3 linked regions of the Drosophila melanogaster genome follow. The protein of the gene in region 1 interacts with the protein of each later gene in a pairwise test. Each region holds a gene or a part of one and is shown on either strand. Other genes may lie near its edges.

The links. The genes of interacting proteins can lie anywhere in the genome.
Region 2: the proteins of Ccdc85 (region 1) and noi interact in a two-hybrid assay, tested with the Drosophila melanogaster proteins (one large-scale study listed by BioGRID).
Region 3: the proteins of Ccdc85 (region 1) and CG43691 interact in a two-hybrid assay, tested with the Drosophila melanogaster proteins (one large-scale study listed by BioGRID).

The regions. Positions count from the first base shown.
Region 1 is NT_033779.5:2,997,650-3,002,516, reverse strand, and holds the start of Ccdc85 (Ccdc85), read right to left. Parts: upstream 3,232-4,867; 5' UTR 2,516-3,231; intron 1-2,515. Other genes in the region: CG3558 (uncharacterized protein), read right to left, coding at 4,269-4,726.
Region 2 is NT_033777.3:5,589,101-5,593,243, reverse strand, and holds noi (noisette), read left to right. Parts: upstream 1-1,784; 5' UTR 1,785-1,911; coding exon 1,912-3,423; 3' UTR 3,424-3,643; downstream 3,644-4,143. Other genes in the region: Vha26 (vacuolar H[+]-ATPase 26kD subunit), read right to left, coding at 59-385, 464-676, 1,206-1,238; PolZ2 (DNA polymerase zeta subunit 2), read right to left, coding at 3,705-4,143. UniProt on the Drosophila melanogaster protein: Probable subunit of a splicing factor complex required for 'A' complex assembly formed by the stable binding of U2 snRNP to the branchpoint sequence (BPS) in pre-mRNA. Involved in male fertility.
Region 3 is NT_033778.4:13,388,995-13,394,972, forward strand, and holds CG43691 (uncharacterized protein), read right to left. Parts: upstream 4,368-5,978; 5' UTR 4,225-4,367; coding exon 1,531-4,224; intron 1,456-1,530; coding exon 859-1,455; 3' UTR 501-858; downstream 1-500. Other genes in the region: CG4744 (uncharacterized protein), read right to left, coding at 5,749-5,978.

The sequences.
Region 1 (4,867 bases):
AATTTAGTGGAGCTGCTAGCTGCTCGAGACGCCCCCTTGTGCTTCCTCGTGGGCCGGAGCCACATGCTCATGACCGTTTGTCATTTCCAGAGGCGCGCCAATTGCCAGAGTGGCCTGCCAAGTATTTCTGCGCACTCTGTGTGAGAAAATGTGGCCAAACGGTTAATAACAGGGGAGTAGGTTGGCCAAAAGGGGGTTTCCTCCAGGCGACCGCAGAAACGGCAGCAAGAGTCAACATGACCGAGCCTAAAAGAAAAGTCACAGTTGCGCTCAAACGAATAGCACCAAAAATGTCACTCAAAGATAATATAAGTCTTATATAGCATATTATATTCTGATCTCTTATTAAATAATCTTGGCGTTTATATAATTTTTGGGATATATGTATGATATACGATTTTGTGAGACGTGTTTATCCACAGATCGCAAAGCGAAGCATTTAAACTAACCTACTTCTAGCATTTCCACCGCCACTATAAGCATGCAAGTATGTGACCATGTGGAGGAGATTCCAGCTATGGCTGCCGGGACAGGAAACTTAAACTAGTTCTAGTTCGAGTAGCTGGCTTCTAGCCGTTCCACAAACTGGGACACTTGTTGCGCCAACTTGGACACTCGATGGCTGGATGACTTGGCTTGGTCTGCCCTGGCTTGGCTCGCAAGCAATCAAACCTGCAGCCCCAAGATGACAAACAGACGAGGCTTCCCACGCATCAGTCACTCCCATGCCGCCCCTGCCACTCCCACGCATCCGATGGCCGAGTCCCGAAGGCCCGGAAAAGAGAAGCCAGGCTAAATTGTCTTAATGGACCATGAAGAGGAGCCCGCGGAGACGTAGAGATCCAAAAGATCATTATACTCCAAAGAGATTCTGCAGATGGCGGCAGGCGCGCGTAAATCTCGAAACCGCCCAATTAAACAGAAAGATATACGTATATGGATGGGTGCTTATAGGAATATAAAGAGCAGGGCGACACACAAAACAAAATCACCGGCGAGGAGGACAGACAACGAAAGAGTGAACGGAGGACCGGCGGCGATGTTGGCGTGGATAAGCCCAAAAGAAAGTTTTCTTTCATTGACAAAAATTTCTTACTCGACTGCGCTGTCTTTTATTTGCCGCCGCGTACAACGAACTTGGCCTCAGTTGCCCACGGGCGCGGATCTTAACCCATTAAGATGCCGGGCCAAGTCAGGAGGAGATTCTTGTGGATACTTTAGAAAAGCCTCATGACCGCAAAAAGATTCCAACTCGGATGAAGGCTTAAAGAAATGAGTAATATTAAACATTCAACTTAGACCCCTAAGGAAACATACTTTTTGTCCGAGAAGTAATAGTGTTAATAATTGTATTAATATTAATTACTATTTACATTTTGCCAATTCAAACGATGCCTGACTGTTGCATTGTTTGTGGTATGTGGCCAAGCAGTTTTCCCAACTACACCATCCCGCCTTTCCATTTAACCCATGGACAATGCATTTGCATTTCTTGGCCGATTTCTCCCTTTCGCGTTAATGGGTTAATGCTGCTGCTGCTGTTGCCTGGCATTAGTTACAGTTTTCCGATACACGAAATTGACTTTACATATTTCAGGCAGCGGGCGATGTAACAGGTTGTTCGGCGCCATCTCTTTCGCTCTTGCGGGCATTTCGTTTCGAAACGGTGGCGTCGCTGCTTTTACCTGTTGCATGCGGCGTGGTTGTTGCTGTTGCTATTGCAACTGCTGCAGCAACAACAAAAGCAACGGCGATGCTGCAGCGTGGTCGGTTTTCGCTGCTGGTTTTGTTTGATCTTGTGTCTTATTGTTGCGCGTTGTCGTGTATCTTTCTGCCTGTTATTTGTTGCTTTCCTCGGATGCGATACTATCGCCATCGCTCCTGCTGCCTCTCCTTCTCACTCACACCAGCAAGCAACTGTTGAATTTATTGGCGCATATAAATGCCTCAAAATTGATGTTATTGTCGTCCGATATTCCCTTTCTTGCCCCCTTGCCGCCTCGCTGGCTCGTTCCTTTGTTTTTGTCCTGCTTGTTTTGAAAATTGATTTTTACTCGGACTTTTATGGCCGTAGTGGCCGAGCGATAAGTGGAGGAAAAACCCGCCTTCGTTTGCGCACCGTGGAGGGAAAAGACAAAAGACCAGAGACAAAAGAAGAACAAATGGGCAAGGTGGGCGTAGCGCTGACAAAGTGGGCGTTCCCGAGGAGAATAGAGCAATTTTCTGGATCGAAGGGAAAAGAGGGGGCAATGAGTTAATTTTCCGTGGGCCGAGGCCCATGGATTTTTAGTCGACTGACGTGGGCTTGGTACACGTAAAAAAGTATTGATTCAATGTTTTTTCAATAGCTGAAGAGCCTGAATTGAACTTTTTGTGAGTGAGTTATCATGTATGTTATTCAAATAGTTCCTTGCACTGTACATTAATTGTGTGGAGAAACGTGGGCAGGGAAAATGGCAACTTAGGCCAAGGCAACTGCAGTTGCTGCAATTGCCAATCTAACAGCAAAACTCACCTTTTATTTTTTTTTATTCCAATCCGATCGCGCGCTCTCTCTATGTTTCTCTATCTATCTCTGTTTCTCGCTCCTTCTCTCCTTTCAAAACAAATCACAAATATTTGCGCATGCGCGACTGCGCATTCCAGGGATACAGATACACACAGACACACACAATACACTGGCACACAGGGGCACTCGATTCCGCCGTTTGTTTTGCGGCTAATTGTTTATACAGCGTAGATTATTCTTCGCACTGGATGTATTTGTTCATCCGGCTATTTTCGTTTGTTTTTGCTCCGCACGAGCAAATTTGCAGCGCACACGCAGCCGAGAATTCGCGCAATCGCTTTTTCCTGTATGTATCTTTTATTGGCCACAGTTCGCGAGTTTTCATGCCCTTTTCGAGAGCCAAAAAGACGCGTCGCCTGCTGCGTTTCGCGAACTATTTTCGGTTGGCTAGAATCCCGTAAAGGCGGTTTCAGCCGGTGTTCCCCTTGCACTTAACAAACACTCAAGCGGCACTCGCAACTAAAGAACAAAAAGTTTGCGAAAATGCGGGCGGTGTGATTAGTCGCCAACACGAATGTATCGAGTGCAGGGCGGGGAAAAGTATAACATAATTTATGCGATATTTAACAATAAAATAAACACAACGCAATAATTCAGCCGGCGATGCGCACTTTTACGTTTTTTGAACGGCAAACGATCGCAACGATCGCAGTTTTGTGACTGAAAGCGACCGATTTCTAGAGATGCGTTCAACCATCCACAGTGCTGTCGACTATCGATTGTTTGTGTTCGACTAAGATATCGGAGTGGAATGTGTTTGGTTTAAAGTGTGGGCATAAATCGATCAATCGATCAACTTCTATTTTAGTACATATTCAAATTCAAACTCTTCCGTTAACGATCTAAACGGAAATTTATCTTGCCTGCTTCTTTTAATAAGTATAATCTTGAATATATTGGCTTGAAGTTTTCATAAGAAACACTTTTATTTAAAAACATTTTGGCTAAATTTCAGCGCCTAAATTATCATCGTATTTCGCCGCCACACCCCAAAGGCAGTTCTCCCAATGGCCCTCAAACCTAAACTGTGTTTCCGATGCAGGCAGCTCCTCCAGCTTCAGCTGACTTGCGCAGAATGAACTGTGCGTTTACGTGTCGCACCAGAAGAAGGTATACCCAGTGAGTCCCTTTGACTCCTCTGGTGGTTGCCATGTTATAAAATTGGCTCTCACGTTAAACCTGAAATCCTAAGCTAATAATAAGAATAACTAAATCTTCTTGGCTGTGCATTTACTTGGACCAATTTAATACTTTCAAGTTGGCTTTACATAACTTGTGTAATTTGATCTTGCATACATAAAAGCATAAAATATATTGCAAAAATACATATGTATACATGGTATGTGTGTTATATAATTCTCTCTATAAACGTTGTAAATTTTGCGTACGGCTGGTAATTAGAATATTTGTTTACATCTGAACACTTAAGATCCACCGTCCCGATTCACTTAAAACATTTAACCTAAATCTATTTGTTTAACGCGTTGAGTGTTTCTCTTTTTTTTTTTTAGTTGAGTCCGTGTGCATTAACTTGTAAATCTGTTCAAAACTGCATTGTTCGTTAAAAGTTGTTTTTTAAAATATAAATATCGAAAATTTAACAGGTAAAAAGAATAATTTCGTAAGAGTAGCTGGTTAAAACAAACAAGGGCTAACAAATCCGTAAAATATGTATACACAAGCTTTCCGTTCCAAGCGATCATAAAGACCCCTGCTCCGTGACCAGCACAACGCTCTGCTCCTGCGCAATGGCAGCCAGCTCCTTAAGCCACTCGTCCATGAGCACAGCACATAGGGCCAGATCGCGTGATCGCTCGGTGCCACTTGTGCTGGCGATGATTCCCATGGAGGCCACCGAGTCCAGGGACGCCGGCTCCGAGTTGAAACCACCCGTCGACGGGCCGCCATCCAGACCGTGCAGAGTGCTCGCCGAGTGGGTGGTTGTGTTCGACTGGGCGGAGAGCGTTAGGGTGGAACCTGCGATGCTGCTGTTGCTTCCCGATGCCGCTGTTGACGTCGCGTTGGCTCCTGTGCGTGATGCTCCCGCTGGGGGCTGCGTACTCAAGCTGGTCTCGCATGTGCCTGCGGACGTCTGAGCTTGTGATATGCCTCTTCCATCGTTGCTGGCATTATTCCCCACCAGATTCGAGGCAGCTCCTAAAAACGTATGCGAGGATTAGCAACAGCACATGATATTGACATTTTGGGTTAATTAAAAAACAACAATAACCACATGTATATATGGGATTCCACAAATGTTTTCTATATTCTACTATTAACTATTTTTTTAGTGGAAAG
Region 2 (4,143 bases), on another chromosome or scaffold:
AAGTGGTTTGTTAGATCAGTTGGGATTGCTCTCTCTCCACCGAAAGGACAGTACTCACCTTGATGCGTCCGTTGAGGGCCAGCAGCTCAACACCACCGCAGGTATCAGCAGAGAGGAAGTCTTTCTCGTCGATGAACAGCTCGACGTTCTGATTGATCTGGGCCTTGTATTGCTCCACAGCGGCAGGCAGGACGTTACGTACCAGGGGGACGTCCACCTCGCGGCAGCGCAGGATCACCTTGGGCTCCATGATCTGGAACAGGCCCTGGACGATGAGCTTGGTCAGCACAGTCTCGTACTCGGACTGATTCTTGGTGACCTCGCCGAGACGCTTGCGGGCATCATCCAGCACGCTGCTCACATGGTCCTCGCGCACTTTCAGCACCTACAGGGTACATTACGAATGATTAAAAATAAGGTGTTTTCCGGTATATGTTAGGGCCACCAACTGGACGACACGCACCTTCAGACGAGCCTGGTTGAGCATGTTGGAGGACTGAATCTTCTTCTGCAGCTCAACTTGCTTCTCCTTCTTCTCGTAGTATTCCATGATCTTGAGACGCTGCTGCTGGACCAGGCGTCCCTTCTCAATGTTGAACTCCTCCTCGGCCTTGGCATCGATCTCCTCGGCTTTCTCATTGGCCTCCTGCTCAATGAACGCCATCATGTGCTTGATCTGAAACAGTCGTCCTGTTTAGTAGTTGCCTGTGTGTCACATGATAACTGGACATGATAAATGGAAAAGGGAGACGTCCAAGACCCTAGCCTCTATTTATTTTCGTTAAAGTTTTGATAACGTAAGGGGTCCGCTGGTCGTGTGACAGAGAGTACGAGTGTGGGGTGCAGGGCTAGTCGTCTCGCTCCAACACATTGCTCCAATGCGGGGGCCGTGTCACATGACCAGCACGAATTTTTACTCACTTTTTACGCAAACTATCTGGACAAATAAATTGATGTGTCTTCATTAGCCAACAAATATGTCAAAACTCCGGCAACTCCCAAATGACCGGGCCGATTTGGAAGGATGTCAGTCTAATTGGACTACTGGCGGTGAAAAGTTCACATGACCTGGGAGATCCCATGACTTCGCCATCTTTATTGCAAAGGCAAATTGCAAAGGCAAAAAGGCAAACGAAGCCTCTCGTTTTGCTTGTTTCCCTACGACCTTGATCGCCTGCCCGTTCCCAATCCAAGTTTTCAATTACCTGCTTTTGTACATCAGCATCGCTCAGTGCCATTTTGACTGATTTTTTTCACTGCACAAACCGAAAGGAAATTCAAGTGTTTTAAAGAAGCCCACGTACAACAACCGTGCCTGGAAATAATTGAAATTTAATTAAGCTAATACATTCACAGCCGAACTGAGTTGGAAACGGCGGCCCAACACGAGGAAAGTGGAAAACGATAAGTTACTTTTGCCTTCTGCCCAACGTCTGAAAATTTTCACTGCAAATCGATCATATGATTTCACGAAAGTGTGACCCTGCGATTGCGAGGGTAAAAATGTGTATTTGTTGTCGCTGTCAGACCACCGATAGACGATGTAATTGTTATCGCATTTGTAACAGAGGCTTCACTTTAATCGACTAGGTAGAAAAATCATGCGATATAATCTATATATGATAATGAAAAATCAATTTGGCTCTTTAAATATCATTACTATATTACTCGAATAATCGAGCGTTAATTTGATACATCTGCATTCCCGAAATCCACATTAATTGCCAGTGTGATCGGAGTATAATAACCTGACAATAATATGATGTGACAATATAAGCCATCCCTGCTTTATTGTAAGTGTATTTTTTAATGTACACACGCTGACGAAAAGTTGTGTTTTCTTCGGGATTTCGCTAAGTGAAAGGCCTCCATTTGATATTTCCCCGCATTAAATCCTCGCATTCAAGAGCCATGGAGACGCTCCTGGAGCAACAGCGGCGCCTACACGAGGAGCGCGAGCGCCTGGTCAAACTGATGGTGGACGAGCATGCGACCAAAAAGCCGGGCGAAAAGGAGCGCATCCATTCGGAGCACCGGCTTAAATACCTCATGGAACTGCATCACAACTCTACGTCCCAGCTACGCGATCTCTACGAGGACAAGGACAATGAACGAAAGGCGGAGATTGCCGCTCTTTCGGGGCCCAACGAGTTCAATGAGTTCTACGCCCGCCTCAAGCAAATCAAGCAGTTCTACAAGTCCCATCCGGCGGAGGTCAGCGTGCCGCTGTCCGTCGAGTTCGACGAGATGATTCGGGTGTACAACAATCCGGACGACATGAGTGCCCTAGTGGAGTTCACTGACGAGGAGGGCGGCGGTCGCTATCTGGACCTCAACGAGTGCTACGAGCTGTACCTCAACTTGCGGTCGGTGGAGAAACTGGACTATATCACTTACCTTATGTCCTTTGACCACGTCTTCGATATTCCGAGAGAGCGCAAGAACCGCGAGTACCGCATATACATAGAGACCCTCAACGACTACCTGCACCACTTCATCCTCCGAATCCAGCCCTTGCTCGACCTGGAGGGCGAACTGCTAAAGGTGGAACTTGACTTCCAGCGCCAGTGGCTGATGGGCACATTTCCGGGTTTTTCGATTAAGGAAACTGAGTCGGCGTTGGCCAACACCGGCGCCCACCTTGATCTATCCGCCTTCTCCAGCTGGGAGGAGCTGGCCTCGCTAGGACTGGATCGTCTAAAGTCGGCTTTGGTGGCTCTGGGTCTTAAGTGCGGCGGCACCCTGGAGGAGCGAGCACAGCGTTTATTCTCTACAAAAGGTAAAAGCACCTTGGATCCCGCACTGATGGCCAAGAAGCCCAGCGCAAAGACTGCTAGTGCCCAGTCACGGGAGCACGAACGCCACAAGGAGATTGCCCAGCTAGAGGCTCTGCTCTACAAATACGCGGATCTGTTGTCTGAGCAGAGAGCGGCTACCAAGGAGAATGTGCAGAGAAAACAGGCTCGGACTGGTGGCGAGCGGGACGATAGCGATGTGGAGGCCAGCGAGTCGGACAACGAAGATGATCCCGACGCGGACGACGTTCCGTACAATCCCAAGAACTTGCCGCTCGGATGGGACGGTAAACCTATCCCCTACTGGTTGTATAAACTGCATGGCCTGAATATTAGCTATAATTGCGAGATATGTGGAAACTTCACCTACAAGGGTCCTAAGGCTTTTCAACGACACTTCGCCGAGTGGCGGCATGCGCACGGCATGCGATGCCTCGGCATTCCGAACACCGCCCATTTCGCCAATGTCACCCAGATCGAGGACGCAATCACGTTGTGGGAAAAACTCAAGTCGCAAAAGCAGAGCGAGCGCTGGGTAGCCGATCAGGAGGAAGAGTTCGAGGACTCGCTGGGAAACGTTGTCAACCGAAAGACGTTCGAGGATCTAAAACGCCAGGGTCTACTTTAGAGGACAAGCCTACGATTATGGTCGCTTGAGTACCGGTCAATTCTATATGACGCTTCCTCTAAAACCTCAACAGTCTTTATAATTCAAAACGGAATGACACTAAAATTGGTTTTATTTAAGGAATCTAATGTTAAGCCATAAAACCATTGGGCGTCCTTTTATTCATTAAAGAAAGACCATGGATCAGCCAACGATTCATGATTAGAATCAATTGTAGTTTAAAATAAACCCAACGTCGTGTAGTTTTCGATAAAATGGATAACAGTTTTAGGAATATAACATTAATTAACGATGAGGACATCCATTTTCAGTCCCAAATCATCTACCCTAGCCAAAGGAAGGAGGTAAACGGTTCGCCCTGTCGCTTGGGATTCAGTTTTTTGGGTCTGAAGCCAGGGAAACTCCTGGTACTGGGAGTCATGGCTGAAGCGGATGAATGCCTCCTGGGTAGTGTGCAGATGCACCTTAAACTGACAACTTCCGGCGGGCAGTTTAGGCGCCTGGTTTAAGCGCTGAGAGATTTTGTAGATGACAGAGCGCATGTTCTGCTCGAACTCCATCAAATGATCCTCTGCCGGTAGGCCACTCCTCTGGGTTTCTAGTTGCATTTTATAGCTCTCCAACTTCTCATTCTCCTTCTGATACACTATTAGCTCCAGGCACTGCAGCTCCCGGCGGCGAAGAAGTTCTTGTGCGGATTTTAGGACGCCGGCCAGGTAG
Region 3 (5,978 bases), on another chromosome or scaffold:
ATATAAAATGAAAAAAGAAAAATAAGCAGATTTGTAAGAGCAAGAACTAGATTAACAAATATTAGGATTTCCAAATGCAGTCTTACAAGCTTTATAAATCAGTAAGTAATATCCACTGATCTGGTATAAAAATACATAAAATGTCCTAAATTAAATGAGAATATCCTTACTGAAGAACCAATAACATTGTAAGCACAGTTCCATTTTAATTGCAACAATTTTGAAATATAGGATCTGTTACTCGGAAAATTCCTTGAGAGCCTGCCTGATCTTCGGCCAATCGGCGGCTGTGTAGTTAAGCGTTTTCATTTATGAAAATGTCTGAAACATGTTTCGCTTGCGCAAACAGAATGCGAGTGCGAGTATGCAATAAAATTCCATTACAGCAATGGCTCGACTTAAAAACTTGGCCGAAAAAAAAAGGAGGCAAGATGAAATTTCGTTGCATGAGCGAGAAGTCGTGGCAGGAGCATCGGGGGGAGCAGTGGGTGGAGCAGCAAGGGGATAAGGAACACGACCAGGAGAAGGAGCATCCTGCAAGTGTATTAAAAGCCCGCAGACATTTTCTCTCTACGTGAGTGCATCGCATGAGCTTGGCCCTGTTTGTTGGTGTGCAATGTGTGTGTGTGTGTGTGTGCAAAAGTCCTTGCATATTTTATGAAACTTGGCAAAGCATTTAACAACACAGGCACACCCACAGACAGAGGCAAACTCATTACTTGAATTTATTTAGCACTTAAACCAAATGTTTCATTCGCCTCAGCCGGCTGATTTGGTGGTGCTCATATCCGTGCATATCCGGAGTTTAGTTACCACTTTGGTGGCTTCAAAAGTACTCAGCACTCCTTGTCGCCCCTGCTAAGGATCAAAACTTCTGGTATTCTTAAGGATCCCGCGTGGGCAGCAAAATGCCGGGCACTCGGGAGCAGTAGGTACGGTGCCCTTAATCCGCTTTAGAAGCTTGGTCTTCCGCTCATTCATGGGTAACTGTGAGCAAAGATGCCCCTTTTTATGGACATAGCCACAGCGTGTGCAAAGGTCCTCGAGCGTGTTGATTAGCAGCTTGTTCTTGGCACAGGCTTCTATGGATCCGCTGGACAAGATCTCGCAGCTGGACGAGGACGACATGGAGAACGGGGTAGTGGGCGCGGGCACAGGCACCTTTACTCCACACCGAGGACACTTGTCCAGGATCATCGAATCACCAATTTTCTCAACTTGGCCTTCGCATGCCAAACACTCTGCGGAACAGGAGATCTTCTGCAGGCGACAAGTTTTTCGGGGTGAGTAGTAAAGTTCCTCGATGGGCCTAAGATCTTTGCTCCTCTTCCTTGCCGTAAAAGTGGTGGAACGGAATTTAGGACGCCTAAATTGTGCAGAGGTATACAATTCTTCGACTTTTCCCTTCATCTTCTTGTGGACCAACTGCTCCACTCGCGATTTGCGATCCAAAGCCTGAAAGAAAGAATAAAAATGTATTTCGAAGATGTTATTTTATAACTTTTTGGCGGTTGAGTATAGTTAACCCACCTGAAACATCAGCTGGTGCTGGTTCATCATGCTCCTAATGTTGTGTAGCGAGTAGCGCCACTCGATGTCCCGCACATCCTGCTCCTCGTTGGCCGCCAGATCCAAGCTGTTGTTGAAGCTTATAGTTGATCCAAAGGTGCTGCTAAAGCGTCTTCTCTTACGCTCCTCGCGCTCCAATCGTTCTGCATTGAGCTCCTGCTCGAGGAGTTTATTGTACATTCCGCCGTTCATCTTGATTTCCTGCGACTGGCGTGAGCTGTGAGATGGGTCAATTTTGCTCGTCCTTATTCCCCGCATGCCGAAGGGAATGAGCCGTGTGCTGACCCGCTTCCTAGACCACCAGTTTCGCTCCATAAACTTTTCCACCTCTTTCTTCTGTTTGGCTTTCATAGATTCGGTTTCCAAAACGTTAAGCATATTGTCCCGCGGCGGTTCCATTCGTGCATAGTTCTTCTCGGTCACTATTTCGTTAAGATACTCCAAGTACTTTTTGGCCAGACTTTCCTTAATTTGCGTTAACGTAACTCCTGCATCTGTGAGTTCGTTGTAGAGACTCTGAAGATGGGACCACATTTCATGGTTAGCTACTTCCTGCATAAGTCCATTAACATCGGCAATATACTCGATAACTTCGTTTCTTTGTATGACGTCCTTAAGGAGGAACTGCAAGTGTTTGAATTTGGCATCTGAGCGTAGATCTTTCAAATGAAACCGTTCGAATTCGAACTCTTTGACGTAGGGCTTTGGGGCATTTTCTGTTTTGTCGTGGCGATCTCGCACCGGTGCAAGGAGTTTTTCAAGATCATCTGGCAGCGCATCATATTTAAATTTATTTTTGGATGTCGATTTCGAAGATAGATGACCAAAAACTTGGCTTTGGGATTTAGTCGGATAAATACCAACTTGGGTATCGGAAGCCCTTCGTGGAAGATGCCTGTTCGATTGGTTCCCTCTGTGCAGAGCTGATTCGCTGGCTGTAATCCTAGATACACCCATATGCTCGCTGTTTGTAGGAAGGTACATGATATCCTTCTTCAAAGACTGATAGTGACTTTCCTCTTGACCTCTTGGAGGAGCAACGCGGATCTTCTTGGGTATGATGGGTGGCATGCGAATAGATTTACGGGTAAATTTTCGGTTTCGATTGCCCATAACTAATTTATTCAGTGATTCAGTGAGGGACGCAACGCTATCCCTTTTGAATAACACATGAGAACCACTCCTCTCGGCAGATAATTCGGGTCGGTCTTTGATTACGTAAACGCTGCTCGTACTGGAAAGCTTTTTGTGCTTATCCGACTTAGTGGCCACTTTTTCGGATCCGATGAAAACCTCTTTGGACGCAATCGAACTACTCGAACTAGAAGCTTGAAGTTTGTCACGTAGTTTTTTCCTATTTCTTCTCTCAATATCACGCCTCATATATAGGGGTATATCATTATATAATCTTTCGAGTACATTTTCTTGCTTTTCCAAGTCTCTTTTTTCCTTTTCCTGTTGAAAAGTTTCAGCTTCTTTAGTTTTTCCATGACGATTGCCCCTTTTCTTTGCCTTTGTCTCTAAAAGTGCATTTAATTCGTCTTTAATTACCCTATCCACATAGTGCATTTTACGCTTTCGAAGTTTAGGTCTTGTTACCTTGAATTTAATGATTTTCGGATCTGGAACATTTCTGGGAGCTCGTCCGCTTTTCACAATTCTTTTTATTCGTACTTTTGGGTTTAAAGTTGTAATATCGGAGATTTTGTCAAAATCAAATTTGGGGTTTCTTATGGCTTTTCTGTTAATTTTCGGGTTTTTAATAACTATCTTTTTCCAGTTGAAGCTGATTAGTTCCCTTATCAACATTTTCAGTTCCTCTAAAGATGGTTTTAATGGATCATGTTTCTTTGGCTTTCGAATGTCCTTCCGAATTCTTTTCAATTTTTTCCGAATAACAAGTTCATCTAAGCTGATATATAATTTTTTTCTTTTCCACAATTTCTTCTTTGATTTCCTAGTTTTATCATGTGCTGTATCTACTGGCACGTTTCTTCCTCTCATGGCCCTTTGTTTATTGATCATAGCGTTTGTTTGCAACACTTCAGTTTTCCAAAATTTAGCAAAGTCCTCGATTTCGAAATCCTTTTTAACCCTGCCACGGCTTAGCTTTCGTGGTCGCCTTCCCCGAACCTCCGATAAATAGTTTCGAACCTCCAGTGCCTCTGCCTCCCAGATCTTGTCCTGATCCTTGACGTGTTCGTAGTAATCCGGTTTCTTTTGCCACTTCCTAACTGCCTTGAACAGTCGATGGAAGCACTTGTCGACCAAGTTCTTTGGATTGCGGACTTTCTTCAACTGCCTCCTCAAGTGTCGAAGTTTGCGACGCATTCCCACTTTTACATGCTCCTGGTGCCGAATTAGCTGACTTTGTAACCTTAAAGCTTTTGACCAGCTGCGCAGCCAATGCTTGTACATGGAAAGCATACCGCCCACCGCCCTCCGTGTCTGCTCCCTCTTCTTCTGCTCCGCATCCCGCTGCCGGTGATCTATGGAGTTCCTCATCCTGTCGAGCAGATGGTCACGGATCCTTCTCATCACCTGAAGGCGGCGGTGGGCGTGACGCTTTCGCAGACGCAACTCCTTCGCCTTCCGCCGGATCTGCTTCTTCAGCAGCACCATCTGGGTGCTCCGGTGGAGCAGGGGCACTTGCATCGCGTACTAATCGAATTTGATCCCTTATCCTCTGAATTGTGTATACAAAGAATACCAATTAACTAGATTTTTAAACAGTCTTAAATGTCATGAAATGTCATAAAAAATTTAAAAGCTAACTCTATTAAAATTTGAACTTACTCATTGGCAAATATGTTATTATAAATTGAATTCAAATTGATTTTATTTTAAAATTCTTGTTTTATTATATATAAATTCATAAATATATTTAATTAAAATTGTCTTCAAAATAAACCCTTAAAGAGTTTGCAAATCACCGGCAAGTAGTTTCAAGGGGATGCACAATCTCTTATCAGACGGTGTGAACCACCTGGTCATTCGGGGATCCCAGTGCGAAACATTGCTCAGCTTACAGATAAGGCATCACAAATCTTCCATCTATAAATTGGTATTCATTGTCGGTTTCGATGGGAAGCCCCACTCAGAGATAGATTGCTATATAATTCACGGTGACCAGATCCCAGCATCGTCAGTCAACAGTCAGCCGCTTAGTCAAGTAGATCGAAAATCAAGAGATTAATACAGCAAGATGAGCAAAATTGTTCTCCTAATTGTGGTCATCGTTGGCGTACTTGGCTCCCTTGCGGTGGCCTTGCCCCAACGTCCGTATACCCAGCCACTGATCTCCACCACCGACGCCACCCAGAATCTACAGGGCACGTCGCCAGGTGTTGGGTGGATCACTCACATCCAATCCGAGTGGCGGTGCCGATGCCCGATTGGACCTAAGCAAGGCCGTTGGAACTCCCGATCACCATGTTATTGGACAAGTGTTCGCAGCGGGCAACACGCAGACCAAACCGGTATCCACTCCCGTAACCAGCGGCGCCACCCTGGGCTACAACAAGTGAGTCTCTTAAAGGATTACGATCTGAGCAATAGCGAAACTAATCTTATTTTTCATGAGCAGTCATGGACACGGCCTGGAACTGACCAAAACCCATACGCCCGGTGTGCGGGATAGCTTCCAGCAAACGGCCACCGCCAATTTGTTCAACAACGGTGTTCACAATCTGGATGCCAAGGCATTTGCCTCGCAGAATCAGCTTGCCAATGGCTTCAAGTTCGATAGAAATGAAGCTGCACTGGACTACTCCCACATCAAAGGTCATGGAGCTACCCTGACGCACGCCAATATTCCCGGATTGGGTAAGCAATTGGAGCTGGGTGGGCGTGCCAATCTTTGGCAGTCGCAGGATCGCAACACAAGGCTAGATCTGGGCAGCACGGCATCCAAGTGGACAAGTGGACCCTTCAAGGGCCAGACCGATCTGGGTGCCAATCTGGGACTCTCGCACTACTTTGGATAAAACTATATTCTTAAAAATATTTTACAATAACTAAGTGTTATTCAAAATATTTATTGACATAAATTCAAACGAATTTTGTTGCTTATTTCAAATGTGTTAAAAATATATGACTTAACTCAAACAAAGGGAATTTTTAATTGAAAAAAACAACTAATGAATTGAAACAAAAATCTAAAACGTTGATTAAAGCGGTCTAAAGACCCACAAATGCCTTGGCCTGCTGCTCGCCCGCCTCCTTATAAAGCTCCGCCGTCTTTAGCAGTTTTATAAAACGCGGTGAGTACTCGGTGGTTAGACTCTTTTCCAGGACCTCGTCCAGGCTGGTCTGTTTGAGCACCTCCTGCAAACGGGCGTTACGTTGATTGCGCTCTGCGGATTCGGCCATCTTCTGGAGATAAACCAGATCCAGGAGCAATTCATCAC